4 linked regions of the Rhinolophus ferrumequinum genome follow. The protein of the gene in region 3 purifies or fractionates together with the protein of the main gene of each other region. This does not show direct contact. Links are inferred from orthologs where the notes say so. Each region holds a gene or a part of one and is shown on either strand. Other genes may lie near its edges.

Region 1 (7,238 bases), on a different chromosome or scaffold from region 3:
AACTGCATCAACGAGGCAAAATGATCTGAAGAAATGAACTTATGTGGTTCTAGTACCAGCAAGTTAATAGTAAGGATATAATGGTATTTTTCTGGATTTGTGACTTTTTTTTTTTCAAATTTATAATCTATTGTGATTTCTTTCCTCATTGTAAATAAATAACCATTTTTTCACATTTCTATTTGTAACTCTGTATTCTTTTTCTTAAGGTGATTAAGTTTATCCCCACAAACCTGTATCCACTCCTCTCTGTTTCATGCATTTCTTGTTTCAATGAAACACATACTTCAGTATTTGCCTAAGAAAAAGTGTGTGAGAGTTTGTTGTTTGGGGTTTTTCTGTGTTTTTTTTTTTTTTCATTTTAGGTGTTGGATGTCTAAAAGTGCCCCTTTTCTGCCTTCTCACTTAATTGATAGATTGGATGGGTATAGAATTCTAAGTTGGAAGTTATTTTCCTTCAGAATTTTGAAGGTATTGCTTCATTGTCTTCCAGCTTCCACTGTTGCTGTTGAGAAATCCAAAGCCATTTTGATTTTTGTTCCTTTGCATGAGACCCATTTCTTGCCTCTGGAAGTTTACAGAATCCTTTCTTTGTTCATAGCTTTCTGAAATTTCACTATGATGTGCCTTGATGTAAACCTATTTTATCCATCGTGCTGACATTCCATGAGTCTTTAAATGTGGAAACTGATGTTATTCAGGCCTGGGGAAATTCTTGAATTCTATCATTGAGAATGTCTTCTGTTTCTTCTGCTCTCTCTTTCTAGGAAACCCATTATTCAGATGTTGGATCTCCTGAACTGAGCCTCCAATTTCCTTAACTTTTCGCTCCTATTTTTATATATTTGGGAGATATTCCAACTCTTCTTCTTCTTTTAAATATCTACTACGATTTTTAAAATTTTCCCAAAAACTCTTTTGTGGTTCCCTGAATATTCATTTTTTATAACATACTTTTCTTGCTTCACAGATGCAGTGTTGTCGGCTATCTAAGGAAGTTAATGATTGTTTTGGTTTGATTTCTTTTCCTTATACAGTCTCTTTCCTTGTTGCTTTTCTCTGTTTGGTTAATTGGTTGATTTTGTCTCTATCATGTTAGACTCTTTGCTTAGATGTCTTGAAATCCTGATTGTCCGGTCATGTTTTAAAGTAAGAGATTAAAAATTGGTGGGGCTTATCAACTGGGAGCTTTATGGTAGGCATCTAGTTAGCCTGATGATGGGGATTAGTGTGTGTATTTTTTAAGTCTTGCCTCTTGGGCTGGTCAGATAATGCAGAATACTCTTTTCATCTCCAGTATGGATGGTAAAGCCCTCTCTGGTGCATTCTGGGAGGCAAGTAGGCGCCAGGGGTCTGGGAACCTTAGCATTTAGAATGCATATGCTCCCTTTCTCTACCTATTTTTCAAAATGTTTCCTAGGTTTTCAGCTACGCCTGGCACTCCTCAGCCCAAATCCCTCAGTTTTAACTCTATAGAAAACAACACTTGAAACTTCTGCTGGGATGAAGGAGGGAGCAGTTGCCCAGCCACAGGGAATGGAGGACAGTTTCCAGGAATCTAACAGTCATACTTCTCAGATAGCTTTCTCCCTGGCTTCTTTGTTTTAGCCCCTCCCTCACCCTCTTAACCCAGAATACTTTGTGCTGCTAGTTCCTGAGTTGTTTTTTGTTATTGTTGTTATTGTTTTTGTTAGTGTAGTTTAGTTTTGTTTTTTTTTTAAAGAATCCCACTGTATAAATCATGTTATTTCTCTATTTCCCCCACTACTGACTTAGGGTTCTGCTGTCTCCAGGCTCCTAAGTCAATTATCATTTATCCATCTGCTTTCCAGCTTCCAAGAAGATTTTGCTGTTGTTTCTCTCTTTTCTCCCCATCTTTGTAGGCTTATGCCTTTTCTTTCTTTTTTTTTTAAGCCTTGTTTTGTAGCTTTTGTAGGGTTTCTGGAGGGGTCAAAATCACATGGCACAGTCTGTTTCAAAACTCACCCTGTAAGAGTATAACATCACCATCAAGCTAAGGGAAGCCCCCTTGAGCAACTTGAGAAAACTGAGTAATTAGCTCTTTCAACTCGCTTTAGCCTGAAGTGTCCCAATATATTCCTTCATTGTTTATTACAATAACATGTTACTTATATTAGACAAAACAAAAAACAGCAAAAAAACCTCACCCTTTAATCTGTCTTTTTTCCCCCCTAGCAACAGACTGTAGCTGCCTGAATTTTTTCTAGTTCAGAAATAATCTTTTAAAATTGACTCCTTCCATTCAGCCATATTTGTAAAGACAAACCATTTCCATACCTTGGCAATGCTTGCTCACACTCCACTCCAGGAACCAAGACATCTTGACTTCAACTATGTATAATAGTTAGGTTGTCATGCAAAGGATACTGAGATGCCTCCCTACTTTTTTTTTTTTTATCTCTGTCTCTTTGCTGCCATTGTCTGGGACCATCACTAATCCTTCACATCTGAGAATTATTGACTCTTGAGTCATTTACAGAAAATTAATTTCACTATCCCAGGGAGGCCAGTTAAGTAAACTTTGGAGAAATGAAATAACTTGTTTACTAGGTTTAAAGTTGTCAAGCAATATTTCTAATATTTCCAATTCAACACTGTCACTCTATATCATTATTTTTATTATGATTATTGTTATTATTGTGTGTGGGAAACAATGGTGTTATGAATGCTAGGAAAAGATGCTGGGGTATAGATGCCTGCTTTATAATTAGAAAAAAAAAATCTGCTTTCACTCTCCTTCAGCATAAACATTTTTAAAGGATGTTAGATTTATTCAAGATTTCTTTCTCTTGATGAATTTTCCTTTGATTCTGTGGGCGAGCCTCCCCACTTTTCTCATCCTTTTCCTTCTCTCTAGGACGGAGTTCCCTCATCTATCTGCCTGATGAGGAAAGTGGACTAAGAGATACACTCTGAGGTCCCCTCAGTTCACAATCCAGTCCCTTCCATAGGTCGAGGCTGAGTAGGGTCATGTCCCAGACAGTCTGGACATCTCTGCCTCCCTCATGGACTGTGGACTTCCTGCGAGCAGTGTGCTTTATTCTCAGCATTGAAGACACGGAGAAGGAAGGAGGTGAAGTTCCTAAGAAATGATGTATCACCCTTGTTCAATGAGAGTAGGGATAGCCTGAAGAGGCTCAGTTTCCCCAAGAATTAAACAGAAGTTGGGGGTGGATTATAGACTGATGCTCTTGCACGTGCTCTGGTTCCTGTCTCCGTCCTCCCAGGTTGTTCTGGTGACTCTGGCCCAGTTTCTGGCTGCCCCCAGGCACAGGTAGCCCCAGGGAGTCCATGGAGTCATTTTGGAAGAATAACGGTCTGCTAGCTGAGAGTCCCCAACCAACCACTGCCTCTTCCTGTGGCCCTGCGACCCTGGACTTGGTGTGTAGCCTACAGAAGCCAGAGACAGGAGGTACACCTGCAGGTGGGAGGAGGGAAAGGAGGCTTGTGCCATTGATTTTTTTTATGGCCCAACTACTGGCTTAAATGCCCACTGTCAATACCACACGGAATACTCCACTCACAACTCAAGAAAGGGCCCCTTGTGGACCTGTTTAGGTTTCTTCTCTTGGCCCTTTCCAAACTCGTGCATTTATTCACTCACTCATTCGTTTGTCCTTCATAAATTTAACAAAGCCATTCCATTTGTGGAAAACCCTTCCTGTCTTGTCAAATCCTGCCTTTAAATTACTCACTGGCCTGGGGATCCGGGACAGGTTGCGTAACTTGTCAAGTCTGTTTCATCCATAATGTGGAAGAGTTGCTGTGAGCATTAGAAATGCTGCCGATGGAGTGGCTGGAGTAGGCTGCCGGCTCGTAGTCCTGCAAAGAGCAGCTATGGCACCGGCTTTAAAGTCCAGTGAGCCTCCACCCAGGTCAGGTAGCAGAGGAAAGAGAACAGAGGAGGAAGCCAGAGCTTGGGTGATCTACAAAAATTCCCTGCAAAATGGGGAGCACCTTGGCCTTCTTCTTCTGGACAGCGAAGGGAAGGCAGACTGGCTTCTGCCAAGCACGACCTTCAGGCCTTCAGACAAAAAGACCTGAGTGATCACTCTCAGCCTTTAGAGGGAGGTGGAAGCCCGGGAAGGTGGGGACGAGTCCCAGCACCCCGGGCGGGAGAGGCGGGTGCTGAAGCAGGAAGGGGAGGAGGAAAGAGGGGAGGGGAAAGGTCCCGCCAGCTCCAGCTCCCCTGGCGCAGGGCGGTGCCCAGGACTACCCGCCCGCACGCAGGTGAGCGAGTCGGGGCGGGGCGCCGCGCAGCCGGTTCCAGGCTCGGGCGCCCACGGTCGCCGCTCCGAACCGCCGGCCACAGTCGCTTTCCCCGCCAAGGCCGAGGATCCGCGGAGCCATGGGCGGCCTGAACTGCGGGGTGACACTCGCACTGCTGGGGGTCCTGTTGCGGGGCGCTGCGCTCCTGCCACGCCGAGCGGGTGAGTGCGGGTCTGCGAGCGCGCGTGGCGCTGCGTGGCCGAATGGCCGGCTAGCCTGCGTCCGGCGGGGAGGGGACCAGGGTGCGCCGGGCGAGGAGGGTGCAGAGTTGGAGCGGGGACAGCCCCGTCGGGATGCACAGATGGCGCGGGGTTCCCGGTACTTCCCGGCCTCGGGGCGCGCCGCGTCGGGCCCGATGGCGGTGCCCTCCTGGATTCCGAGCGACCTCGACCTGGGCGCAGGCCGGGGCACGTGGGAATGTCCCCGAGCCAGGAGACCCGCAGTCGAGAGGAGGAGCCCGACGCCGACCCAGAAGGAGAAAAGAAGAGCGCGAGGAAGCCGAGTCCCCGGGGGCCCGAAGTGGCGCGCCGCGCGCTCGGGATCTTTACCTGGATGACTGTGGGCTCCGGGGCAGGCTGGGCGTGGGGGGGAACTTTGCTCTCTGGTCCACCCTCTACCTCCTCGCCTGGGCCAGAGAGAAGGTGCCAGGAAAGTTTGCGTCTCAGTATCCCATCGCATCACCTCTTCTCCTGTCCGCACCCCCCATTCTCGCGCCCCTGAAGTTCAGGAGCACGAATCGAAGATGAAAGCGCCGAGGCCCCCCAGGCCCCCGCCTCTCGCACCTGGTGTAGTGAACTTGGACGCACAAGGGGGTCGGTAGAGCCGGGCGTCCCAGAGATAGGTGTGAATTTCGAGTTGTTCCGGTTGGGGGAGGGACCACCGCATCCCAGCTGTCTGTGTTTCCGAGTGGGGGGGCGCGAGGAGGTGCCCCGTGGGTGCGGGAAGTATTAAGACAGTAAATAACCTGGTTTCTTGTCAGAACTTGAGGCCTTTCCTGAGACTAGCACAGGTTTTGTGTTTTGTAAAGAGCTACCCAGGAAGCGATTTGGGTCTTCGATTATTACCCTTTGCTGAATCTAAGGGGGCGTTTGTATTTTACAGGTAGGTAAATTAGGGTACATTAAATTAAGGAATAAAACTGAGCGGGTGAGGTGAACTTAGGCGTTTCGGTAACTGCCATCATAAATCCGAGACAGGAAAGCTTCCTGGTTTTTTCTCCTACAGCATCAGGTGACATACTGCTGCCAAGTACATAGAACATTTTAAAATGGCCTTTAAAATATTGCGTGCATATTTACTGTAATTTAAGACTGAGTTTTCAAGATTTCCTTTGAAGAAAAATGTAAGTTTAAGAATAAAGAGTAACTTAATGAGTGAAAATGTGTGTGAGAAAAATGTGTAATCAAAGCATTACTAGTGACAAGGATAGCCTGTCCTGCACTGGCTTCTGTTACCATCTGATGTCTCCCTGTGGCCTGGAAAGACAGCCATTTGGTCTCCAGTAGCTCCAGTGGAGTCCCTTCCAGGAATTTCTTGACTGTGGGAGTCATATCTCATGGTTCGGTGTATAAATACAAGGAAGCCTAAAAAGTTTCCCATTTCACATTCTTAACACCTGTCTGGGGTCTCAGGAACCGGCCCTGTGAGGCTACATTGCCAGACTTAACTGACGGATATGGCTTTGTGATTGGAGCATTCGCCTAGTGTCTCTGCTTTGTTGAGGTCTTGGGGTTGGACCCCGTGGGGGCCTTTGAGAAGTTACTGGAGTCAGTCCTCAAAGGGTGGAGAAAGCCAGAGTGAAAATGAAGTTGTTCTCACGGCAGAGCTGAAGAGTAAAGGAAAGTTTGTGTCTTGGTGTGGTGCATTTGTGTGAGTTTGCTATTCTTACCAGCTCCCCCACTTGCAAGAGTGAAGGACTGGTTACGTTGGAATCATAGCCTTATTAAAATCTCAACTTGGTGGCTTTCCAAGAACCACTCAGATACCAAAGTTTGGGTCAGTGACCGCACTCTTGCTGCCATTGCTTTGTGCCAGAAATGTGAGCAGACATCAAATGAAGTGTTTGCTCACCCTGAATGTGTGTTCGTCATTCTTCACATATTGAGGAGCTGCTGGCTATTGTCTGGAGTGTGTAACTGGCAGGACTGATGAGTCCCACCCCCCTCACACCCCCACAGGTTTGCATGACTTGGCGTCAGAGGGTTCACCTCAGATGCTGCCCTTTCGTCTTTGATGACTGTACCTTGCCCCCCCACACACACACACAACCTTTCTAGGGGTTCTCCCAGGCTTCAGTGTGGGGGAAGGAAGTTGAAAACAGTAATTAAAATATTTTAAGTAATATTAATATATAGTTGTTGTAGAAAAATTGGCAATAAATATGAGTATAATCAAAAGGGGGAAAAATCATCTGTGAGCAAACCATCATGGTCATTTTGGTGCAGTCTCAGTGTGTGTGTGTAAAACGAAAAATGGGACCATGCCCTTATTCCAGTCCCCTGTTGTTGGACAATTAGGTTGCTTTCCATTTTTCCTATTAAAAATAGAACATGTCCAACAATAGGAGAGACTGCTTATATCAATTTCGATAGGTCTGTTCAGTGAAAAGACATTAAAAAGTATGTAGCACAGGTTTTATAACGACTTGAAATAATGTTGCCTTTGTGTCAAGGTTATAAAATAGTATAAGCTGGACTGTCCCATTTTGATATATCTGAGAAAGTGTTCTTGCGGTTGTATTGTTCTGCGCATTCTCAACTGCTTTGTCCAGCTAAAATTCTGGAAGTAGAATTGCTGGGATGAAGAACAGAGAAAATGTTAGGGCGTTTACATATTTCCATGCTGCCCTGTGGAGAGCTTGTCCTGTTGTTCTGGTGTATGTTCGGGCCAACAGTGTGAATGCCTGTTTTCTACACTCTTCCAGGCTGTCATCATTGTTTCACTAGCCT
Region 2 (7,626 bases), about 6.4 Mb from region 3:
AATGGCTCTACGAGTGTTTGTCCTAATGTGGAATGATTTCCTAAATTTGTAAAGTAAAAAGGAGCAAGGTGTGACTGGTGTGCATCATGGGGGAAGTATGGATAGGTAGACACGTGTTTATAAAGGAACAGTGTCTATGTAAGGCACAGAAACTGGAAATTTCAGCCATATCTGGGGAGGTCAGGGTAAGAGAGAGACTTGTTTTCCTCTATATGTCCTCTTGTACTGCTGGAATTTTTTCTTATATATTTATTATCTTTTCTTGAAACTGAGCAGCATTCTCTCTAGGCCTCCCTCTGGGTCTAAGAGGCTATGATTTTGCCTCTGTACGTCTCCCGAATTAAAGGGGCAACAGCATCTGGCACCACACTGCTCTGAATGACCTTTCCAAAGCCCAGTTAACCCAAGTCCCTGACCTCCTTTAAAATCCTCCAGTGGCTTTCTACTACCCAAACTCTAACACAGCACATACAGCCCATCAAGCTCTCCCTAATCTCATTTCCCACCCTTCTTCCATCTACCCAGTCCTACTATGTTTAACTTCTCCCTGCTCCCCAAGGACAGTGGGTTCCTTCCGCCTCCAATCCTACTTGTGCTGCTCCCTCCCTCTTTCCTGTATTACTATCTATCACACACAAACTCCTATGCACTCTTCATGACCCAAAGTCCCTCTCCCAAGAAAGCTTTCTCGGACCACCTAGGGAAGAAATGTTCTCTATACACCCGGCAGATGCTGTGGAACTAGACTGCCAAGATTCAAATCCTGACTATTCCCTCATCTGCCTATTGTATGGCCTCAGTTTCCACCCTTGTAGAGTAGGAAGAAGCCTGGACATAACTGTTGAAAGGATTAAATAATTCACGTAAAACATTTATTACACATCCTGTCACAAGGCAAATAAAATAGCTAGTATTACACTTTCATACTAACTGTGATGTATGTACAAGTAATTGTATCCACCTGTCCTGCATTAGACTGTAAGCTCCTTCAAGGTAAAGATTTAACTTCCTCACTTTTATTTTGTATCACAAGCGCTTCCCCTAGCAGTAGAAGGAGCATGGACGTACTTTATTCAGAGAGTTGGCTTTTTTTGGTTCTGAATTTCACCCATATGGTAAATAAGTAGCTAAAAGGTACCCAGTGAACAGCCACCTGGATCCCACGATGCCTGAGAAAACACATATCAGCCAGGTCACTCACTTCAAGTAGGCAGAGGTGAAAAGTCACCGTGGAACTTTTGGTCTTTTAGAGACAGTCAAGCAGATTGGAGGCCAGCGGGATAAAAGACCTGCCAGTTCCTGTCTGCTGACTACTTATTGGGGCTGGATGGAATGGAAATGGGGAATCAGAGTTACTAAAAGTCCTAGGCATGCACTCCAAGAAAGCCTTGAGAAAACAGGAAAGATTCTCCTGGGAAGTGGGAACCTGGAAGTAAACAGAGTCAAGACATAAGGGGGAAGAGATGGGATATGACCTACAAGACAATTGGGAGAAAGAATCCTCTTAGTATGGGAGATAAAAAGGTACAAAAACACAGCTCCCGATCTCAGGAAGCTTCCGTAGTGAGAAAGGCTTTGAAGGAAAAGGTGGAGCTGGGCAGGTAAAGGTGGGGAGGAAAGAGGATCACACAAGCAAAAGCATCCAAACATATGAAGAGGCAGACAAGCAGCTGGGAATGGCTAGGGAGGTGGATAAGGTGAAGGAGAATTGAAGGAGTCAGCTAAAAGCAAGAGAGTAAATTGAGGCAAGACTGTCAAAACCTTGTATGACTTGATAAGACATTTAGAGATTCATTCATCCCATGGGAAAAAGAGGGAGGGAGTTTTTAAGTAAACAAGTGACAGCATCAGATTTGTGTTTTTAAAGGAGTGGCCAGGCAGGAAGATGTTCGCCCATCTTCCATCGTCAATCCTCTCCCCGCCCACCATCTTCTGGTTCTAGGGCTGCCTTCACAGCAAGCAGGTGGCAAGTGAAGAGATCTTCCCGGAGATGGGACTCGTTCTAGAACAGGAATCCCTACCCTGGGCAAAGGCTCCTGAAGGCATTCACCCAGCCTAGGGAGGTGTGGAACATTCTTTTACTGTCTTACAAACATCATCACTCACTTTAAAAAAAAAAAAAAAAAAAAAAACACAAAAAACCCTCAACACTGGGCTCACCTCTGCTATTAATGTTTTTATCTTCAGGAGATACAACTGGGAACTAATTTTTCAAAACCCGATATTCTTTATTTACCAAAAGTAAAAAGGGAGGGGATCTGCATTCCCAACTGGCTCATTTCGAATTTGGGGCAGCTCTGAGCTCCTAGTTCCCTTCTTCAGCAGCCTCAACAGTTGGGAGTGGGCGGAAAAAAGAGCGGCCTGGGTAAAGGGCAAGGGGGGCTTCAAGGAAAAGAAAACTTGACCACTTCAACAGCAAATTTTCTCAGGCCAGGAGTTTTCTTTTCCTCTCTCTTTCCATTTAGTGGACCTGAGCAAATTCTGTTCTCACTGTTCCAAGTTTCTTCTTTCAGAATGAACTACGGCAGCGCCCTGGCCTGGCCTCAGGAGGACGCACGCAAAGTTCCTGGGCAGTCGACAGGGGTCGGCGCCCTGTCCCGCACGTTTCCGGGGACCCCCTTTCCGAACAGTGCAAGGATGTGGGAGCCGGGTAGAGACGCCCGAAGGATTCTACCCGGAAAAGAGGGATTGGGGCTCCCGCCAGGGACCCCTCTCACCCGCGCCTAGGAACCGCCCCCCCTTTCAAAGCCCCTCCGGGCGGCGGCGGCCGTGAACACTCACCGAGTCCGGCGCTGGGCGGGACCGCTGGGGACGAGGACGGCGGCTCCGCCTCGGTTCCGCGGCGGCGTCTCGGCCCGCCACACGCCCTCAGGGCCGCCGCCCGGCCCGCGGCTGGGAGCCCCGCGGCGGCGGCGGCGGCCTCGCCTCCATGGCGAGGAGAAGCGGCTGAGGGGCGACTGGGCAGGCGGCGGTGATGGCGGCAGCGGCCCGGGGTCCGAGCTGGCTCTTGCGCGCGCGTCTCTGTCAGCGCCGCACTCGCCGCAGCCTCGCTCCCGAGCCGGCCTGTGCTGTAAGGCGCCTCTTCATTGGCCGTTCAGAGACGGACGCTGATTGGCCTATACCGGAAGGGCGTCTCCCGGCCCTCTCGGGCTCCGCCCTTGCACGCCTCCAAGCGTTCGCTAGCTGGCCAGAGGCTCAGAACAGGGTTTGAGACCCTGTTCTGGGGAGATGCCCCACCCGCAGCAGCCGGGTCCTCGGGGAAGCGGGACCCCAGGAGCACCGGCCGCCCGCGCACGTACGGCTTCCGCCTCTCTACAGTCCCAGCCCCCTGGACTTGAGCCTTCTTCCCAGTTTACAGATGCGGAAACTGAGGCCAAATACCAGTTACATCAATGTCCACCGACCATGGCAGCCTGGAATCCAAAAGCCGTCTTTCCATTCCTCTCTTCAAACATGTTCCATTCGGATTTTTCTTTTCTTGCTAATTGCTGCAAGGTATTTAAAGGACGAGGGCTCTCACTGGGAAGAGAGAGGAACCTGCAAAGCCCTTAGAACCGGCCTGGCACCGTGGGTTTCGTCTTGCATCAAGTTAGCCCACTTCATCCACACCCGAGCCCCAGGGAAATCTCCCCCGCTTTCCAGATGCGCGAACCGGGGCCTGGCTCATAACAGAGCTGGGTAGAAAGAAACACAACACATGGGTGTCTGCGGTGGGGGTGTCGTTTTCTATAGGCCTGGCGGGGAAGAGGAGGTTCAAAGCTCAGAGAGGACCCAGAGATGCGTCCCACCACCACCGGGGCTGGAACGGGGTGGGGGAGCACAAACCTCCTCCCTAGAGCTCTCCGCCCCACGTGTGGCTCCCCAAAACCATCTGTCAATATGTCTGGCGGCAGCCGGTTCCCAGGCTACAGAACCTGGGCGTCCGCAGCTGAAGGCGGATTGCACAATTCTGGTGGGAGACGGGTGAGACCCTTTTCTAGTTGTGACCCCACGCGGTGTCCCTCGGACACACCAGGACCCACAGCAGTGTGCAAACGGAGCTTGCGGGGAACCCTTCATCAGAGTCCCGGAGTCTGCGCTTCCCGGAGTGGGTGGTGCAGAGCCTCTTATCCAGGCCCGCAGCCCTCTGAGCCCCCCTCTCCTACCTCCTACCAGGCACAGTTCCACGTTCAGCGCACGCCAGGGGAAGGGTCAGTAGCCAGCGGCAATTCCTCATGGCAGGATGAGTGCGGTGGGGACATTTCAGTGCAAGAGAAGGAGCACACATAAGCTGTCATTTACACGAGATTCATGCCACTACCACCTCCAGTCCCCACCACCGCCTGCAGTTGAGGCACCAGCTTAAAACTCTGTCCCCTGTATTTGTGGAATAAGTGAGTGTATGCTGTCCAGTTGTCAATAGCCTGCAAATTCAGGGTGCAGTGGGCCTCCTTCAAGCCATCCTCTCCCCAGCAGAGAAGTCTCTCCTTGAGTCAGAGATGGGTTTCTCACTCCTCAGCAGGGCTGGCCCACAGGTGTTGTGAAACCGCCAAACCCAAAGCGCCTCTGCCAGATAAACACTCCAGCTCAAAGACTCCCAGACCACAAACCCAGTCTCCTGTTAGATCCCAGGAGCAGCCAATGAGGGCAGGTTCTTCCATATGCCCACCATTCTCACTTCCCAAGAAGTCCAAACTCGGTATATCAGCACACCAATAGAAAAGTGAAAAGCCTGAATTCAAAGTGTGTAGAAACCCTGAGAAACAATGACTGTGAGTATGGGAGGTACCTGGGTAGCTAGGATAGCAGCAGCATCCTAGGACCAAATGCCACCAGCAGTTTACCTTACCTACACCTGACCTACCCTATTATGTCTTGATATGTTTCTTTTGGTTAATTTCTATTTTTACTTACACCCGTCATCCACCAGAACTGTGCAATCCGCCTTACAAAGGGTTTGACATGCTTATATTTTCTAACATACATTAACATAAATAGCTATAGAAAGTGTTCATCCTTGAGATCATCTGAAGGATCTCCAAACAATCTGACCACACTTGGGAAAATCCTGCCATTGGGTGTGGGTGTTAGAGAGCCTAGGTGTTCAAACCTCACCATTGGCTGGCTAGGCGACCAGAGCTGTACTGAGAAGTGCAGGCATGTACATCTTGGCAAGTAACCTTGTCTCAGAAAATGCAATTCCTTCTCTCCATGAGACAGCTGCACTGTGGTCAGAGTATTTGTGGTGTGTGTGCAGGGGTGACAGAATCTCAGACCAAGGAGAGGCAGGGCCTTGGGTGTCCCATCCTGGAGACCTGGGGAAGGAGAATTCAGCTTGGCAACCACATAGTCCGCTTCCTTTGGGAGAGGACAGAGTCCCATCATCAGCTGCTCACCTGTGGAGACCTGCCTGCCTCCTTGTCCTACCTGATGTCTGGGGTGTCTCTAGCTTCCCTGTCATCAGAGGACAAAAGGCTCTCTTTGAAGAGGAGAGAACTGAGAGAGGGAGGGGAGGAGGCAGGCTTCCTGTACCCAACCCACCCAATGGAAGGCTGAAGCCCCGCGCCCAGCCCTGGTTTAGTCCTAGTGCACAGGAGTATACACCTACAGGCAGCCACGCGTTAGCCACCCCACAGGTGCCCCAAATCACAGGGTTCATGAGAAAAGGACTGGACTAGAAGGAGAACTGGAGGATGGGGGTAAAGAACTCCTGTTTGTGTAGATAAGTCACTTCCCCTCTCAGGGTCTCCTTTCCCCATGTAGTAAACGAAATAATGAGTCATTTACTCAGCAAATACTTATTGAGTGCAGACCATGTGCTGGACACAGCAGGGAATAAGACAGAAAAGGTCTCTGCTCTCAGGAATTTATATTCTAGATTGGGGCAATAGACAATAAACAAGTGAACAAGAAAACTTCCTAAATGCTGTAACGAAATAAAAGTAAGGCAATAAGATAGAAAGTTGAAATAAATGACAGCCGAGTGCCTTTCCAAGTCACTGTTCTACTCCCAAGGGTCATTTGCCAATGCTTTGTACCTAAAAGAGACTGCAGCCCCTTTACCCTGAGAAGGTGACTTGTAGGAGCCTTTGCCCTGACTCACTCCAGGGCTGCCATTAATATCCTAAACTAGAAGCGATGTTTCTAAAGTCTCCACCCCAGCTCCAAAATCCTGGCCCCAGGCTCAATCCTAGCCCCAACCGATGGCCAGGACTTGGCCCCACCTATCACTATAGGCCCAGGGCTGCTGTGCAGACCCTCAGGGCAGAAGGCATTTTACACTAATTTTAATTGATCTGTTGAGGATTAAAAAAATAATCCCAGTTGTTTTTTAAAATATCACTATTTATAGGTGTACGCGTTTGTCAAAAACTCAGCAAATGTACACTTAAGATCTGAGCATTACATATAGATTTTGTCTGAAAAGAAAAAATTGCAAATGATAAACTCTAGTTAATGAAATGCATTCTGAAATATTTAGAGGTAATTGTACTAATGACTGCAACTTACTTTGAAATGCATTAAAAATAAGATAGATTAGTAAAACAGACAGAAGCATGATAAAGTAAATATATTTAAATGTTAATGGTAGAATCCAGGTGGTGGGTATACAGGTGTTCACTATAAAATTCTTTCACCTTAGCTGTATCTTTGAAATTTTTCATGATAAAATGTTGGGGGGAAAATCAGTGTTTAACTTTACAAAAAGTACACAAAGCTGCCTTTAATTTTCAAATAACTCTACCCATGAACAATTCCAGTGCTTCTCCATCCACATGCATACCTACTTTTTATGAAGTTGTAATCAACGATGTTTATATAAACATAATCATTGTCACATATTTCTAAACCTTCATGTGTACAGTGTTTAATGTCTGTATATCACATGAGTAAATATGCTGTGTATGACTTTGGGGATGCAGGCTTTTTACAGTGTACTCGTGCATTCTAAAAGCACTGCCCAGGGCCCCCCTTCCAGAGAGGGACTGGGTTGTATGGTACCAACACTTTTTCACTGAGAACTAGGAAAGCTGGAGAAAAACATTTTTAAAAGGCACAGAAGAGCTACTAGGGCAGTGGGGCCACGACCGGGGAGGAAAAACACCCAGAATGATGACGAGCCCAGTATTGGGGATCTCCTTGCCTTTTCCCAGAGGTGTCTGCTGATTCTGAAACCTGATAGGCTGTGCCAGACTGCGATTCCAAAAATTGGCCACATTTCCAGTTCTGCACATTGTTCCAGAGCCTTGCTACACCCCTATCACGAGGTGGAGTCGATTTCCCCTTGAAATTGGGTGGGGTAGGCCTATGTGACCGCCTTGCCAAACAGAATATGGCAGGTGTGACCCTGTGTGACTCCCAAAGCTAGGTTAGGGAAGGCAGTAGAGCTCTGTGTCTCCCTTGGGATGCTGCCCTTGGGACCTGGCAGTCGTGTTGGGAGGTACCGCCGGTTGTAGGTGTTCTGGCTGACATCCCAGCTAAGGTTCCAGTCAACAACCAGCTTCCATTGCAGACTGTGAGTTACCAAGCCTTCAGAGGATTTCAGCCTCCAGCTGTCAAGTTACCTTCCACCTTTGAGTCTTCCAGCTGTTACCCCAGATGTTGTGGAGCAAACCATTCCTGTTTCCTCCTGTCCAAATTCTTGAC
Region 3 (7,632 bases):
GGGGTGGGGGAGTGTCCCGTTCTGGGTCTCTACTGTGGCCTGAGGGAAGTGATGTGACGAATGGCTGAGTTTCCCTGTACTCGGCCTTCACACAAGCCTGGTGAGGCCAGGGGTCTCTCCTATTTTCACATGGACAGGTCTTTTCTGCCTGTGACATCTCTGTTTTGTCTCCAGAATCTGGGGTGGGTAGAGAAGTGTTTGAGCCTCAGGCTTCCCATCTGTGAATTGGTCCTATAGCCGCAGAAGGTGAGGCTCTGAGGGTTTTGATTTCACGCAGCTGCACTCAGTCGTTAATGCTGTCACCTGTACGTTATCACTTAGGCTCCACCTGTGCAGGTGCCCACTGTCTCCATCCCTTCCCTGGAGGGTGGGCGGACACTGGAGGAACCTGCTAGTGGCTGGCCACCCCTCTGGTGGCTGATTTCTGAGGGAGAACATGCTTACCTGCCCTGGGCTCCTTCTGACTCTCATGGGACGAGGGCCACTTCTCTACTGTCTTGCATTTAGGCCTTTGGTCCAGTTTGGCCTCGTTCCCTGGAACCCAGGTATGTGCTCACATACACATCCAACATAGGGTCCTCAGCTGTGGCTGCCATCAGTGTAGAGGCGTCCAGACTGCACCTCCCTCCTCCTGTATCTCCCTCCTGAAACTCAGTGACAGCACATCTCCCCAGGCCCTTCTCTGCTCATAACCCTCCATGGCTCCCCACTGCCTACAGCATTTAAGGATCTTCAGGGCACACCCTTGCCACCCTTCCCATCGTGCATTTGCTCATGCCGTTCCCTCTGCCTGGAACACCTTTGTCCCATTGTCGCCAGAAGCCATGTCTTCAGGCTTCTACCCTCTCCACAAACAGCCTCCTTTCTTCACCAGCCCTGCACTCCAACACACAAACTGTGTTAGGGGCCCGTTGTTTGGGCCCCTCAACCCCCACGCTTGCCCAGCCACTGTGCCTAGTGCACTGGTTATGCTTCCCTGCTCCCCCAGGCTGTGAGCAAGTCCAGGCAGAGACCAGACCTGGCTTGTTCGCTGCTGTATCCCTAGCACCTAGCACAGATGCTAGCACACAGTAGATACTCAGTAAATATTGACTGACCAGAGGAAGGAAGTGTAAGCCTTAGTCAGAGGCTAGAGGGTGGGGAGAATTCCAGGCAGAGGGACCAGCAAGTACAGAGGCCTCAGGACGTAATGAGCTGCTGTGATGGCGTGAAAGCAGGGAGGCAGGCTTGATAGAGGAGGGAAGGGGACCAGGGCCTGCAAGGGAGGCCTAATTGGCTATCAAGGGCCAGATCGGCTGGTGCACTTGACAAACTGGACATCTCTGTATAAACTGTAAAGTGCAGGGCTATGGGAGGTGGCAAGCTCACTCCTCAAGCTAGAGCCTGCACATTCTTTCACCCCATCCTTTAGGCCTGAGCCTGGTGGCTTTGAATAGACAACTCATAGCAAACCATTTGGGGAATGACAAGGCTGGTCTGGAATTTCCTGCTGAGTGCCAGTGTTGGGTCCAGCTTCCTGGTCACTGATCTGAGGGTGAGCTGGGCTTTGGGTGGGTGAGGCAAATAGGCCCCCATCAAACCAGAGCCACTAGGGCCCTGCGTGAGATGCAGGCAGCGCCCCTGATCCCATGTCATGGGAAAGCTCTTACCGAAGGGTCTGCTGCCACTTGTGTGAACCCAGGCCTCACTCCACACTTTCCATCCTGCTTTGACCCAGGTGGTGGGAAGGAGGGAAGAGGTTTCTAGAGACTGATGACAGTGTTCAACAGGTGCTCACCATTGCAAGCAATGTTGACATGAATATCCGTCTTCTGCTGGGTGCTTTGGTTTGGGAAATTGCCCTTTCTGGTGTTCCAGGCTTGGCCCAGGGCTGTGTATACCATTGTAGTCAATAAATATTTGCTGTCCATTAATGATGATGAATGATTTGTAGGTATTAAGCAATGAGTTGCTGTTTTACTAACAAGGTTTTAAGCAAAATAATGCACAAAGAGTCACTTATCCACTAGGCCAGGCCAGCAACTCTTGCATTTGCATGATCCTGGGAGTTGGTGGGGTCATTGTCCCATTTCACTGATGAGTAAACTGAGGCTCAGAGAGGGAAGGGTCACACAGTCAATGAATGAAAGCGTTGGAACTTGAACTCTTGTATGTGACTCCCTAGTCAGTATGTTCTCCCCAGCCAACTGGGCAGTGTCTGCTCTATGCTGGGCACAGGCCAGGCCGTAGTCCCTGCCCTTAGGGTGGGGGCAGACACACCCCAAATTGATGGGGTTTGTCGACAAGCATGTCCTGAAGGAGGTGATATTTACTCAGGAACTTGATGTTGGGAAGCTAGAGATATGGGGCGAGCATTCCTGGCAGGGGTTACAGCCTGAGCAAAGGCCCAGAGGGAGGATTAAAAATAATGAATATTTCCAAGGCTCAATAATAAAACCATTGTGTTGGCCACATCCTCCTGAAGTGTCTCCTGAGAATCTCAGCCACTGAGCCAAGCCCTTGGAGCCAGTGGTGGCTCCAGGTGGAGGGCTGCCTCTGTGCTTATAGAACCAAGACTTGTGGAAGTGGCCCCCGCTGCTCCAAGAGAGTATGGAGGGGAGTGAATGATAACATGGGCTCAGGCATACCGAGCTTACAGCACCTCATTTCATCCTCACACGAGTCTTCTGAGAGAAGCACTATCTGTAGCCCATTTTGTAGGCTGGCATACTGAGGCTTAGAGAAATGGCATGCTTAAGGTCACATATCCAAGAAGTGGCAGAGTTGGGATTTAAACACAGATCTGTAGGTCCAAAGTGTGCTTTTAAGCCCTTTGTCATCCCCGCTATAGGAGCCCAAGACTTTCAGTTGAACTCCTGGAGATGAATCTAGTGATGTGCTAGTAAATATTTAACGACCAGCTCTCTGGAAGGGAAAAAAAAAGCCTTAATTTGCAGTGTTTGCTGATTTCCAAGATGTACATGCTTCCACGGTGACTGATATCAACTTACCAAGGTGACGTCATTGATCTTGGAGTTGAAAAGACATGAACACAATTTGCTCTTGCAAATGGCAAGAGCCAGCTCCGTCACACCACTGGTTGAATATCCCACTCCTAGCCCAGTGTGGCCAGGAAAGACCTTCAGACACGTCTGAGGAGTGAATGAGGGCTGAGAAACCTGCTCCTCCAGCCAGGAGCCCGAACAGAATCCTGGGAAGCTGTGGTTAATCTGTAAGCCAGCCTTGCAAACCCGTGCCACCGTTTCACCCGCCCGGGATGGTTTCTGGGGCCGGCTCCCCTGCTGACTTGGAGCCCCATCTCCTCAAGTCTTGGTTTTACCACCCTACCATTTGGTGGGCACAACCTTAGTCAATCCTCACCCTTGTCAGTTTTAACCTCCCTAGGAGTCCTCTGGGACCATGTGCATTCCTGTGACTTGGATAAGGTGCAATAGGTGGGCAACTAGCCTAGATTTGAACCCAGATCAGTCTGGCTCAAGGCCTTGCTGGTCTCTTGGATGCTATTGTGTTCTCTGAGGACTTTGCCTCCCATATTCTAGGCTTCCCCGTGCAGCTTCTCTCAGGAGAAGTCTAGGCCAGGTGCCTTTTAACCTGGCTGGCCCTTAGTTTCCCAGGGGTGAAATGGGGGAACTTTCAGAGAAGGTAAGTGGAGGCAGGTGGTAGTATTTAAGGCTGGCTTCGGGCCCATCTTCCCCGGGGTCATGATTCCAGGACGACAGGTGAAGAGCCAAGGTTTGGGGTGCTCTAATAGGGCAGCTCTGGAGCCTGGGCCAGGAGGTGGTGGGAGGAAGGTGGGGTCAGATTGTGGTGGGGGCAGGCTTCGTGGCTAAACCAGCATTTTCTCAATGTCTGCTTTCTCTGCTATATTCCCTGTCCCCAGCATCCGGATGTACTTTGCCTCTTTATTTACTTAAAAGGGCAATTGTCGGTAAAAACCCGCTTTAGCCCCCTACTCAGTAAGAATATCCAGAACTCGATGGGCTGCCTTAGTTACTTTTTAAAAAGCACATTGAAATGAACACGTATCTATTAAAATAAGTGTTCTCCTCCTCACACTGTCCCTCAGGCCCCAGGCCCCACTTTGGGAAACAGGTCAGGACCAGAGTCCGAAGATAAGATTCTTGTAGGTGACCCCCTTCTCTGTGTCTCAGTTTCCTCATCTGTAAAATGGAAATCATCATCCCCCAGCCTGGCTGGTTGCTAGGAGTGGAGCCTAAAGTCTACCCCATCCACTTAGCATGGCGCCTTGCAAGGAGTGAGCGCTCCATTAGTGCTGATATTATTATTATTATTATAACTCATACTTATAGGAGAGGTGGATTTAGGGTAGATAGGGTGGGTAGGTTGGGGGTAGTTAGGAAGGGCATTTTGGCATGAGGGTGGATGGGGTCTTCCAGGGTGGGGCGTCCTCACGGGGCGGGGTGGGGGCGGGGCTCCTGTGTCCGGGGCCTCCACTCCCCAACCCTCTGCCTCATCTGGACCCGTGGGGTCGCGCATGGGTATCTCCAGAGTCACCGGCGGGGAATCTGTCCCCGCGCGCTTCCTCCTTCCTCCTCCTCCCGGCGGCTTGCCGGGCCCCTCCTCCCTGCTCGCGCTCTCCCTCCCTCCTCTTCCCCTCCCCTGGTCGCCGCCTCCTCCTCCTCCTCCTCCTCCCTTTCTCTCTCGATCTGTCTCTCCCGGCCCGGAATCCATTCCGGCCTGGGAGCCGGAGCGGCCTGGCCGCCGTCTGCCCGACCCCCTGGCCGTCCTGCGGTCTGCCCTCTGGTGCGTCTGTCTGCTGGTGCGCCCGCCTGCCCGCCGGCCCAGGTGAGCTCCCCCGCCCCCCACGCCCCTCCGCGGCCCCCAGGTCCCGGCCGGTGTGGGGGATCCCCCGCCCGGGGACCACCCTGGCGTCGGATCGCCTGGCCACAGGGACTCCAGTCCACCCCCCAACCCCCACACCCCCCGGCGGAGCCCCGATCCCGGAGCGGTGGGCGGGCGCACGGGGATTTGCCCAGCGCGGCCTTTTGTTGTGATGCTAAGGGGGAGGGGGCTGGGTGGGGTGGGGGACGCGGGGTCCTGTCCGCGCGGGGACCTCCTCCGGCTCATCCTCCTCCTACGAGCCCCCTGAGATCAGTGAGCCGGGCCGGAGCCCCCAGGCCGGGTGTAGGCCAAATCTGAAATCTGAGCCAGTCGGCGCCACCTCCACCCGAGGCAGCTCGGCCTGGAGCCCCCGGCCTGGGAGGGGAGGTGGAAAGGGGTCCGACAGGGTGGGCCTGGGAGCACCGGGCCCAGAACATCCAGCCTGGCCCCAGGACTTATCTGTCCTCGTGTGGCTTTGGGTAGGGCCTGGTGCCACCGGGCTAGAACGGACTGGGCCAGACTATGCTTGCTCCCTCCTGTCCGTCCACAGCCCCCAGGCTCCCCCCTGGTCAGGCCCAGCAGCCTGCCTGCTCAGAAGTTGGCAAAAGTTTTGGGTTTTCGCCACCAGGCTTGGTCCATCTGCCTGCCTGGGCTGGTGTTGGGGTGGGTTTGAGTCTCAACAGGGCTACCACTTGCCCTGCTGTGTGTCCTCAGACAACTGCCTGCCCTCTCTGAGCTGGGGGTCTTTATCAGTGGCAGGTGGGCCTAGCTGGAATTGCTGGGCTGGTGGAAGGATGGGGGTGAACAAAAGGAGTGAGCCTCAGTTCAGTGTCTGGGGCCTTCAGGCCAACTTGCGCGTGACAGAGCGTGTGTGTGCCTGGGTGAGGCTTCCTGAGCTTCAGGGACTCTGTACAGTTGGGGCAGTCGTCCCTGAGTGACCTGGGGTGAGTCCAGGCTCAGCCACCGTGAGCTGAGACCAGCCTTGGTTTTACGAATGGGCCATGCTGGTCCTGTGGCTGACCCTCTTCTCAACCTCCTGACTGGGGAGACAAGACACATTGGCTTCTCATCTCACTGGGTGACCTGGGCCAAGGGACTATCCTCTGAGTCCCCATATGTGGAATGAGAATCCTCAGGGGAAGAATCTATGTGTTTCTGCATGTAGGGGCTTGGCTTGTTGTAGGTGCTTAATAAGTGAGTACTTCACTGGATAAATTGTCTAAACTGGGTGGGAGGTGAGGTTGCTGGCCCCAGTGGGGCTTATCTCCAGAAGAGGATGAATTGGTGTCAGAAAAGCTGCTTCATAACTCCTTGAAAAAGAAACAGCTCCAGTGCAATCCTGCCACCCGGCAGCTGTGTGACCTTAGGCAACTCACTGCTCGTTCTGGCCTCAGTTTTAAGTATAAAATGGGCCAACGAGAATGATAGCTGCTAACGTCTACAGAGCATCTCCTGTGAGGGAGAGACTCTTGCTTATCCTCATTTGGTTGATGGAGAAACTGAGGTGTAGCGAGGGCAAGTGACTTGACCAAGGCCACAGAGTTGGAAGCTGGAATGAAAACCACCTAGACCTCAGAGACTCCACTCCGGTTGCCCTTGCAGCCCTCCAGTGTTGTGGGGGCAGGGGTTTCCCAGTATGGGACCAGGCATACCGCGGTGTCGGAAAAGACTACACTGATGAGTGAATGCGTGGAAGCCACGAGGCCTTTTTGGTGATGTGGTGTTCCTTAGTGATGTGATTTTTCCACCCAGGGCAATGATTTATAGTGTGTCACCTCTCTCAGCTGACCGCCTGCCCAGGCCCTCCTGCGTGGTCCCTGGGTCTTTGCTCCTGAAGGTGTCCCTGCCCAGAGTGCCTTTTCCTCTAGGAGCTGCTTATCTGCTCTTGTCCTTGAAGGCTTAGCTTAAGGCCCACCTCTCCCAGGAAGGCCCCCCAGCTCTCTCCTGTCCTCTACTCTGTTCTTGGAGCATGAATTATCCCTAGTTCACAACCAGTTCCTGCTTTTGCTTCTTCCCTGATTGTGACCTGGGGTGGGGTTGGGGGGGTGGTTGTCTGGCTTTCCCAAACCCCAGGAGCCAGGGAGGAGATGGCTCAGAGGCCTGCTGACAGACTCCGCCCCGTGGTCCTCACTTGACCCCGTTTTCCCAAACCCGCCTCAATAAAGCATTCATGACCCCGTATTGGGCACCTACTATGTATGTGCTAGGAGCTTTGGACTCAGGCTGAGCAGTGTGGTGATGGGGTTAGCAGTTGGAGGGAGGCATCGGGAAGCTTCCAGGAGGTGGTGCTGAGGGCAGCAGCAGTTCACTTAACAAAGAAGGGTATAGGGTGCTCTTTCTTCTCTTCTGCTCAGACACTTCCCAGGGTCCCTGGGGTTGTGGGGAGTGGTCAGCCTGAGTAGGCCCTTGCTGGCGAATTGTGAACAGGTCCCTGGCCTCCCAGAAATTTGAGTCTAGAGGGTGAGCCAAATAGCAAACAAATTGTCAAATAAATGAATATATCATCATAGATGTGATAAGGGCTCAAAGAAAGGTGTGGGATACAGAGGAATCTTAAAGGAAGCGAGTAGGAGATGGCCAGGCATGGAGCTAGGGGAAGGGCTTGCCAGGCAGAGGGAACTACATGTGCAAAGGCCCTGAGGTGGGGGAGTGTATGCTTTTGTGGAGAAACAAAGGGAAAGCCTGTGAGTCTGGAGCACAGAGAATTAGGAGGATTGGGTGAGAGGTGAAACGAGGGGTACTAGCAGTAGGGCTTGACCATGTGGGGCCGTGTGAGCTTTGTGGAGGAGT
Region 4 (7,560 bases), on a different chromosome or scaffold from region 3:
AGTTATTTAGGATCGCTGAGTCTTAGGTTTCTTCTCTGAAAAAAAAAAAAGGGAATATTTGATGGAATAACATATCTTAACCATGCGCGAAGTGCACCTTGCTTCCGGGGAGAACTTAATGCGTGGAGGATGTCAGACCTGGCGGGTTTCTCTAACTTGGCCATGCCATGGTCCTTTGTCAGCAGAAAAAAGAATTCTTCATTTCAGTGCCCCCAGAGCCAGGCACTGGTGGGGGCTGTGTGAATGTGGACCAGTTAATGATAAGTGGAGAGCCATTAGTTAAAACAAAGCAGAGGCCCGTTTGGGGTGTACAGTGGTGTTCCTGACTCAGCCTGATGGTAGCTGGGAGCTGCCCCTAGGAAGCCTTTTCTAAGCCTAATACCCGCTGATCCTGACAGCCAAAGAGAAGTATAGGCAGGAGAGATCCCTGGAGTCCTAGAGAAAAGGACTCACCTAGAGAAAAGGATCATCACCAGCCATCATCTTTTTAAACTTCATCCATCCTCACTCTAGACTAATTCTCTCTTAGAGCAGTCATCCAAAAACATTCAACCTGTATTTATTTATTGAACACATACTGTGCTCCAGGCACTATGCTATGCCCCAGGGATCCAGTGTCAATAACACAAATAAGATTTCTATTCTCGATGAAGTTATTTAAGTGAAGCAGAGGATGAGTAAACAGACCGTTATAAAGTGTGGGAAATGCTGTGAAGGGGGACACATTGGGCGTGGGTGTTGGGGAGCATCTAACCCAGACATAGGGGGAGTCAAGGAAGGCTTCCTGGAGAAGGAGATAGCTGAGCAGAAGACATAGCACAGGCGTTCTAACAGCTGACACAGCAGGCCTGGGGAGGGATCTAAGGAATCATAGGGATGTGGACTCTGGATTGTAAATTGCAGAAGCAGAGACTCTGACATCAAAGGATTCCGTCTAGGATCCATATTTCTCTACTTTACTTACAATGTTTTTTCCAGACTCTCCTTTCACCAAGACTTGAGACATATCTTGCTAGGGAAGCCCTCACATTTTTATAAAGTAATTTATGCTTATGGAAAATAAGGGACATAAAGAAGTGGGTGGGTAGGTGGAGGGAGTCTCATTCAACCCCTATTACTTTCCTTTCATTCATTTTTTGGGGTTTGTTTTTAGTATTCTTTAAAATTGAGGTATAATTTACATACCATAATATTCACAGTTTTAATGTAAAATTTCGTGGTTTTTAGTACATTCACAAGGTCTTATAGCTATCATCACTATCTAATTTCAGAACATTTTTGTCACCCCAAACACAAACTCCTGCCATCAGTAAACATTTATTATTTCCCACTTCCACAGCCCCGGGCAACCACTAATCTGCTTTCTGTTTCTATAGATTTGCCTATTCTGGACATTTCCTACAAATGGAATCAAACAATATATGGTCTTTTTGTCTGGCTTCTTTAACTTAGCGAAATGTTATCAAGTGTCATCCATGTTGTAGCATGCATCCATATTTTACCTCTTTTTGGAGCTGAATAATATTCCATTGTAGGTGTGTACCACATTTAGAAAAATACATTCATCAATTGATGAACATTTGGGGTTTTTTGTTTATTTGTTTGTTTTTTACCCTTCATTACTATTATGAATAATGCTGCTCTGAACATTTATGTACACATTTTTATGCAGACATCTGTTTTCAGTTCTCTTGGGTATATTCCTAGGAATGGAATTGCTAGGTCATTGTTAACTCCATGTTTAACTTTTTTCCAAAGTGAGTGCGTCGCCTTATATTACTACCAGCAGTATATGAGGGTTCTAGTTTCTCCACAGCCTTGACAATACTTGCTTTTGTCTTTTTTGGGTTATAGCTATCCTAGTGGGTATGAAGTCTCACACTGTGGCTTTGATTTGCATTTTCCCAATGACTAATGATGTTGAACATCATTTCATGTGCTTATTGGCCACTTGTATATCTTCTTTGGAGAAATGTCTATTCAAATCCATTGTCCATTTCTTACTGGGTTATTTCCCAGTTTCTAACTGGGGTTTCTAACTGGGTTATTTGTTTATTAATGAATTATAATAGGGTCTTTATATATCCTGGATACTAGAACCTTATCAGATAACATGATTTGAAAACATTTTCTCCATTCTGTGGATTGTCTTTTCACTTTCTTGACAGTGACCTTTGGAGCTCAAAAGTTTTTAATTTTGATGAAATTAATTTTATCTATTTTTTCACTTTAGTTGCCTGTGCTTTTGGTGTCATATCTAAGAAACCATTGCTTAATCCAAGGTCATGTTTCCTTCTAAGAGTTTTATAGTTGTACCTCTTATATTTAGGTCTTTGATCCATTTTGAATTAATTTTTGTATACAGTGTAAAGTAGGGGGTTTAACTTCCAATTTTTTTTTTTTTTTTTGCCTCTGGGTATCCAGTTGTCCCAGCATCATTTGTTGAAAAGACTTTTTTTCCCCATTGACTTGTCTTGGCTCCTTTGTCAAAAATCAATTGACCATAAATGTATGGGTTTATTTCTGGACTCTCAAATTTGTTCCATTGATCTATATGTCTATCTTTATGTCAGTATTACACAGTTACTATTATGATAGCTTTGTATTAAGTTGTGAATTCAGGAGTGTAAGTCCTCCAACTTTGTTGTATTTTTATTTTTTCAAGATTGTTTTGGCTATTCTGGGTCCTTTGCATTTCCATGTGAACTGTAGGATCAGCCCGTCAATTTCTGCAGAAACGTCAGCAGGAATTTTGGTAGAAATTTCATTGACTCTATAGGTCAATTTGAGGAGTATTGCCATCTTAACAACATTATGTCTTATTATTTTTTCTTTTGGTATGTATTGAGTATAAATTGAGCTCATGCCAATGTACTGCTTTGAATGCTGATTTATTTTGCTCAGTATTCCATCATAGGCATTTCCTTGTGTTACGAAAGATGCAAGCGTACTTTCACTACATAATATTCCACTGTTTGGCTGTATTACATGGGATTATAAACTCTTGGTTGTTGGGTAATCTGTCACAGAAGGTGCTTTGTTCTGAGTCCCTCCTGGTGCAGGCTTCTTCCTACAAGCACAAATAGACTCTGGGAGGACTTGTGGCTCACAGAATAGCAGCAAAATATTAGTGTCAATGTTGATCAACAGGTACCCCAAACTGCAGGTGGGGAGTGGGGATCACTAGAGAAGACAACATTCTCGATCACGGAGAACTGACCTGCCAGCCTTTCTGGCAACACCACCCTGATGGAATGGAATCAGGAAACAGGATCCAACAGACGGTAGACACTGATAAAGCATGTTTGTTTTAGACGTGTTAAAACATTTGCAGCATGAAATTCATTTCACATTGGAACTCAGTACACCTAACGTGAAAGTTTCACTAAATAATACTTTGTATATCAGCTGAGAGAAGCTGGTCTGCTGTAGTAACAAACAACCCTCAGGTCTTAGTAGTGCAAGAGCTTTCTTTCTCTCTCATGCTATAATACTTGTCTGTCGTGTAGCAGGAGTGCCCTGGAATTTAGGTTGCTGGAGTCTTCCCCATCCAGATCATTGTTGGTTTCAGTGGCAGAGGAAAGAGGTTGTGTAGGCAGACGAATGGTTCCCCAAAGATGTCTAGATCTTAATCCTTGGAACCTTTGAAGACGTTTTATTACATGGCAAAGGGGGATTACAGTTGCAGATGGAATTAAGGTTGCTAATCAGTTCACTTTAAAATAGGGAAATGGGAGGACGAATGTATTTATAAGGGTCTTTAAAAGTAGAAGAGGGAGGCAGAAGAGGTCAGAGTGATGCAGTGTAATAAGAACTTAACCTGCTGGCTCTGAAGAGGGAGGACGAGGCCATGAAACAAGGAATGCAGGCAGCCTCTGAGAAGCTGGAAAAGTCAAGGAAACAGATTTGCCCCTAGAGCTTCTGGAAAGGAATGTAGCCCTGCTGACATCTTGATTTTTAACCCAGGTACAATTTGAATTTCTGAACTACAGAACTGTAAGATAAGCTTATATTGTTTTAAGCCACTAAGTTCATGGTTATTTGTTATAGACTCTATGGAAAACTAACACAAAGGGTATGGGGAACCATGCACCAGCTGGTAAATGTTTCTGCCTAGAAGTGACATATGGCACTTCTACTCATATTTCATTGGCCAGAGCAAGCCACATTGGCATGCGTAACTTCACAGCACTGGAGAAATTTGCCCAGCCTAAAGGGGAATGGACAGTAATATCTATTATACCTTTGCTATCTGCATCTCATGCTTACATCTTCTATTCCATTCCATTAAAACAACAAAGGCAAAGGGCTGGTGGCAATTCTTTAAGTTGATTTCATTATCAATTTAAGGATTGACCCCTGGTTTGAAAAATACTGCTTTATAGACTCCTCTGCCCATGCCTCATGGACCACATGACACACCCTAGGCAGAGCTGATTGGCCCAGGTGTGGGACACCTGATCAAAGGTGACCAATGAAATTCCTCTCCTGGGAATTTGGATTTGGGCCATTTAGCAGTTAACAGTGGGAAGCTGAGTGAGGCAGAGTAGAAACAGGGTCAGAGTGAGAGCCAGATGCAAGCCAAAATGATGGAAGAACAGAAAAGCCCTGAGTAAGCACAGAGAGTTGGTCCACAGAGACAATGGATCAACCGCACAGAGAGCAGTGCAGCCGGGAGAATATGCAGCCCCAGAGGGAGAGGTGGAGAGAGAGAGCAACCGTCTGAGAGGCTGATGGCTTCCCCGTTTCTGACTCCAGCCCCAGTGCATCCTGCCTGCGCGTTCTTCCCGTGAGATTTCTTTTCTCCTTATACCCTCTTCTCCTTTTCTTGAGCTGCCCTCGGTGGGTTTCTGTTCCTAGTCTCCAGGGAGCCTCAATCAGCTAGAACACCAGCAGAATTTCTCTTATGGGAACAGGTCTTGACTCTGAGAATCAGGCTTGGGGGGCATAGATGGAACTTGGGGGTGAAACAGACCCAGCCGTCCCACAATCTGGAAGATTAGCTTTGATCACAGTCTCGCGTGTTTATCCTAGCTCTTCAGAGTGGGCAGGCAGAAGCCATCTGTGTGGTGCTGCGCACGTGGGCGTCCCAGTGATCTGGAAACACCCCCAGAGGGGCCTTTTTTTCTGACAGCGTTGGGGTCAGGAAGCTGGTGAAGTTGCTTCAGGGGGGGCTTGGCTGTGCGCTAGAGTGGAAAGGACAGCGTGGAGACGGGCAGCCACCGTTCGCTTGTCTGAGCCTCAATTTCCTCATCTCTCAAGTGGGATTGTTGAAAGATCAACAGTGTTCTGGGAAAAATACTTAGAGACAGGACTAGGGCATAACACACTCTCAGGTCATGGCAGCTGCTGTTGTTGCTGAGGAAGCCGTCCGTGTGTCAGTTTCCTGAGGAGGTGGCCCCCCAGGGGGCTGATTGAGTTAGCCACAGGACATTCCCCCCACGGGTCATGCTTCCTGCCTCTGGTCACCCTTAATCTCCTTCTCACCCCTTAATGAATAATGGCTCTTTCATTTCTTCCTCTCCCCTCCCCTGCCCTCGTTTTCCCGATTTTCTGCTCCTGATGTTGGAAACACCTGCTTTAGGAAAGCAGCAGGGTTGGATATAAAGTAGCCATCCTCTGGAGGAAGCCGGGCAGAATTAGCTCGGAATCCTGACTTAGCCCCTTGCTTGCTGTGTGTTCCTGGGCAAACTACTGCATTTCTCTGAACCACTAGTTCATGATCTATAAAATGGGCGTTATAATGCCTACGTCGCAGTGCTGTTAGGAGAAATAATGAGGCACTCAACAAACGCTAGCTCTTTCTTACCGCCCTTCCTCCCTTCCTGATTTTCAGTCCTCCCAGCCTGGCTCCCACCCTCTGCCTGTGGCCCAGAGGTGGATCTCTGGTCTCCTTTGCAGGTCCAGCCCAACTTGGGAGCTGCTGGTCGAACCGTGTGATCTGTATTTTTTCTCACTTTAGCAATTATTATACCCCAGCTGACTATGGCATCTTCACATTCCACATCTGATAAATATTTATGAGGAGGAGAAAAGCTCAGAACTCCTAGGGGAGGTGGGGGAGGGACGTACCAGGCTCTTCTTTGCAAGCCAAGCTCAGACGCATCCACGGTTCCTTGGGCCTCAGAAGTAAGGGGTGTGTGTGGGGGGATATGCTATTGGAGGCAGTACAGAGCCACCACCAGCTCCTTAGAGGAGCGACTGTCACAGTGACAATGTAAACTCACCCCGCCTTGCTGGACCTCTCGCTCCTGGGGAAGGATTTGGGCTGTGTGATCCTGCTTGGCCACATGTGGGCTGGCTCCATCTCTCTGTCTGCTCTAGCTCTCTCTGCTTGGGACTGTTTCTCCCTATCGTTTTTTGTTCATTTGTTTTTTTCATCTCTCATTCCATCTTTTATTTTCACACCTCCCGGAGCATGTCCCTCTCCTGCCCTCTCCCTCCTCCCTTCCCTCCTCTAATACTTTCCCCTGGGTCTCTGTCTCTATCTTTCACTTTTCTTCTCTCCCTCCAAACATTATTCTGAGCATTTCTGGGGCTTGATGATGGGCGATAGGTGAGGGGGTCTCAGGCTCCCAGACCCAACTGGAGGGAGAGGGCAGGGGGAGCTGCTGGAGCTAGCAGCGTGCTGTGGAAGGGTGAGCGCTTGGCGGGAGCTGGAGACCTCACCTCCGCCTAAATCTGCATCCAGTGCTCTGTCTGCTGTGTGGCCACGGGCACAGCCCCTCTGTTTCCTGGGCCTCCGTTCCTCAGTTAATTCCAATATTCAATCATTCATTCATACATCCACTCAACTAATATTTATGGAGTGCTTGCTGCCTGCCATTCATTAACACGTTTATTGAACACCTACTAGGTGCACCCATCTAGGCACTTGGCATATATATCAGTGGACAAAAGAGACAAAGATGCCAGCCCTCATGGAGCTGGTACGTCAGCAGAGTAGACAGGCATAGATGTAAGCAGCCATGACGTAGTAGGTTAGGAAATGGTGAGTGCTGTGGAAAAAGGAGAAATAGAGTGAGAAGGAGTGGGAGTGGGGGTGGGTACAGGCTGAAGCCCCATCCTATCAAGCTGGGCAAGCCGATCTGTGAGGGGAGAGAGTCCCAGGGGAGGGCACTGCTAGAGCAACGGCCCTGAGGCAGGAGCCACCCTGGTGTGGTGGGGGCACAGCAAGGAGGTTCCGTGGCTGGAAGAGTGAGGGAGGAACGTGGGAGGGGAGGCCAGGAGCTGAAGGATGGCAGACACGCAGACAAGGCTTGTCCTGTGTGAGCTGGGAGGACCCGGAGCAAGTGCGCAGGACGGTCTGACTTACATCTTGAAAGACTCTCCACATGCCCGTTGAAGAACAGACTGAAGGGGCCCAAGCCCAGGAGACCTGTCATGGCAGTGATGCTGGCTTGGGTGAGGGTAGCGGAGGAGATGGGGAGATCTGATCATGCTCTCGAGGCTCGGATGGTGCCTGAGAATCGCTCCAGGCCTCTTGTCCTCCGTCCTGCTGAGGGACGGCCTGCAGCAGCCTTCACCTGCGTGGGATATGCTAACTCTGGCCTTTCCTCT

Evidence for each region.
Region 1: the proteins of SRC (region 3) and CDCP1 purify together in Homo sapiens (co-immunoprecipitation; 4 studies listed by BioGRID and IntAct, with this or other methods). This does not show direct contact. The link is inferred for Rhinolophus ferrumequinum from reciprocal best matches to the Homo sapiens genes SRC and CDCP1.
Region 2: the proteins of SRC (region 3) and PTPRA purify together in Homo sapiens (co-immunoprecipitation; 4 studies listed by BioGRID and IntAct, with this or other methods). This does not show direct contact. The link is inferred for Rhinolophus ferrumequinum from reciprocal best matches to the Homo sapiens genes SRC and PTPRA.
Region 4: the proteins of SRC (region 3) and ARRB1 purify together in Homo sapiens (affinity purification with western blotting; 3 studies listed by BioGRID and IntAct, with this or other methods). This does not show direct contact. The link is inferred for Rhinolophus ferrumequinum from reciprocal best matches to the Homo sapiens genes SRC and ARRB1.

What each region holds. Positions count from the first base shown.
Region 1 is NC_046300.1:9,845,529-9,852,766, forward strand, and holds the start of CDCP1 (CUB domain-containing protein 1), read left to right. Parts: upstream 1-4,231; 5' UTR 4,232-4,369; coding exon 4,370-4,451; intron 4,452-7,238. UniProt on the Homo sapiens protein: May be involved in cell adhesion and cell matrix association. May play a role in the regulation of anchorage versus migration or proliferation versus differentiation via its phosphorylation.
Region 2 is NC_046306.1:25,041,491-25,049,116, reverse strand, and holds the start of PTPRA (receptor-type tyrosine-protein phosphatase alpha), read right to left. Parts: upstream 3,017-7,626; 5' UTR 2,782-3,016; intron 1-2,781. UniProt on the Homo sapiens protein: Tyrosine protein phosphatase which is involved in integrin-mediated focal adhesion formation.
Region 3 is NC_046306.1:18,599,362-18,606,993, reverse strand, and holds the start of SRC (proto-oncogene tyrosine-protein kinase Src), read left to right. Parts: upstream 1-4,622; 5' UTR 4,623-4,806; intron 4,807-7,632. UniProt on the Homo sapiens protein: Non-receptor protein tyrosine kinase which is activated following engagement of many different classes of cellular receptors including immune response receptors, integrins and other adhesion receptors, receptor protein tyrosine kinases, G protein-coupled receptors as well as cytokine receptors.
Region 4 is NC_046294.1:50,017,909-50,025,468, reverse strand, and holds the start of ARRB1 (beta-arrestin-1), read left to right. Parts: upstream 1-4,549; 5' UTR 4,550-4,733; coding exon 4,734-4,789; intron 4,790-7,560. UniProt on the Homo sapiens protein: Functions in regulating agonist-mediated G-protein coupled receptor (GPCR) signaling by mediating both receptor desensitization and resensitization processes.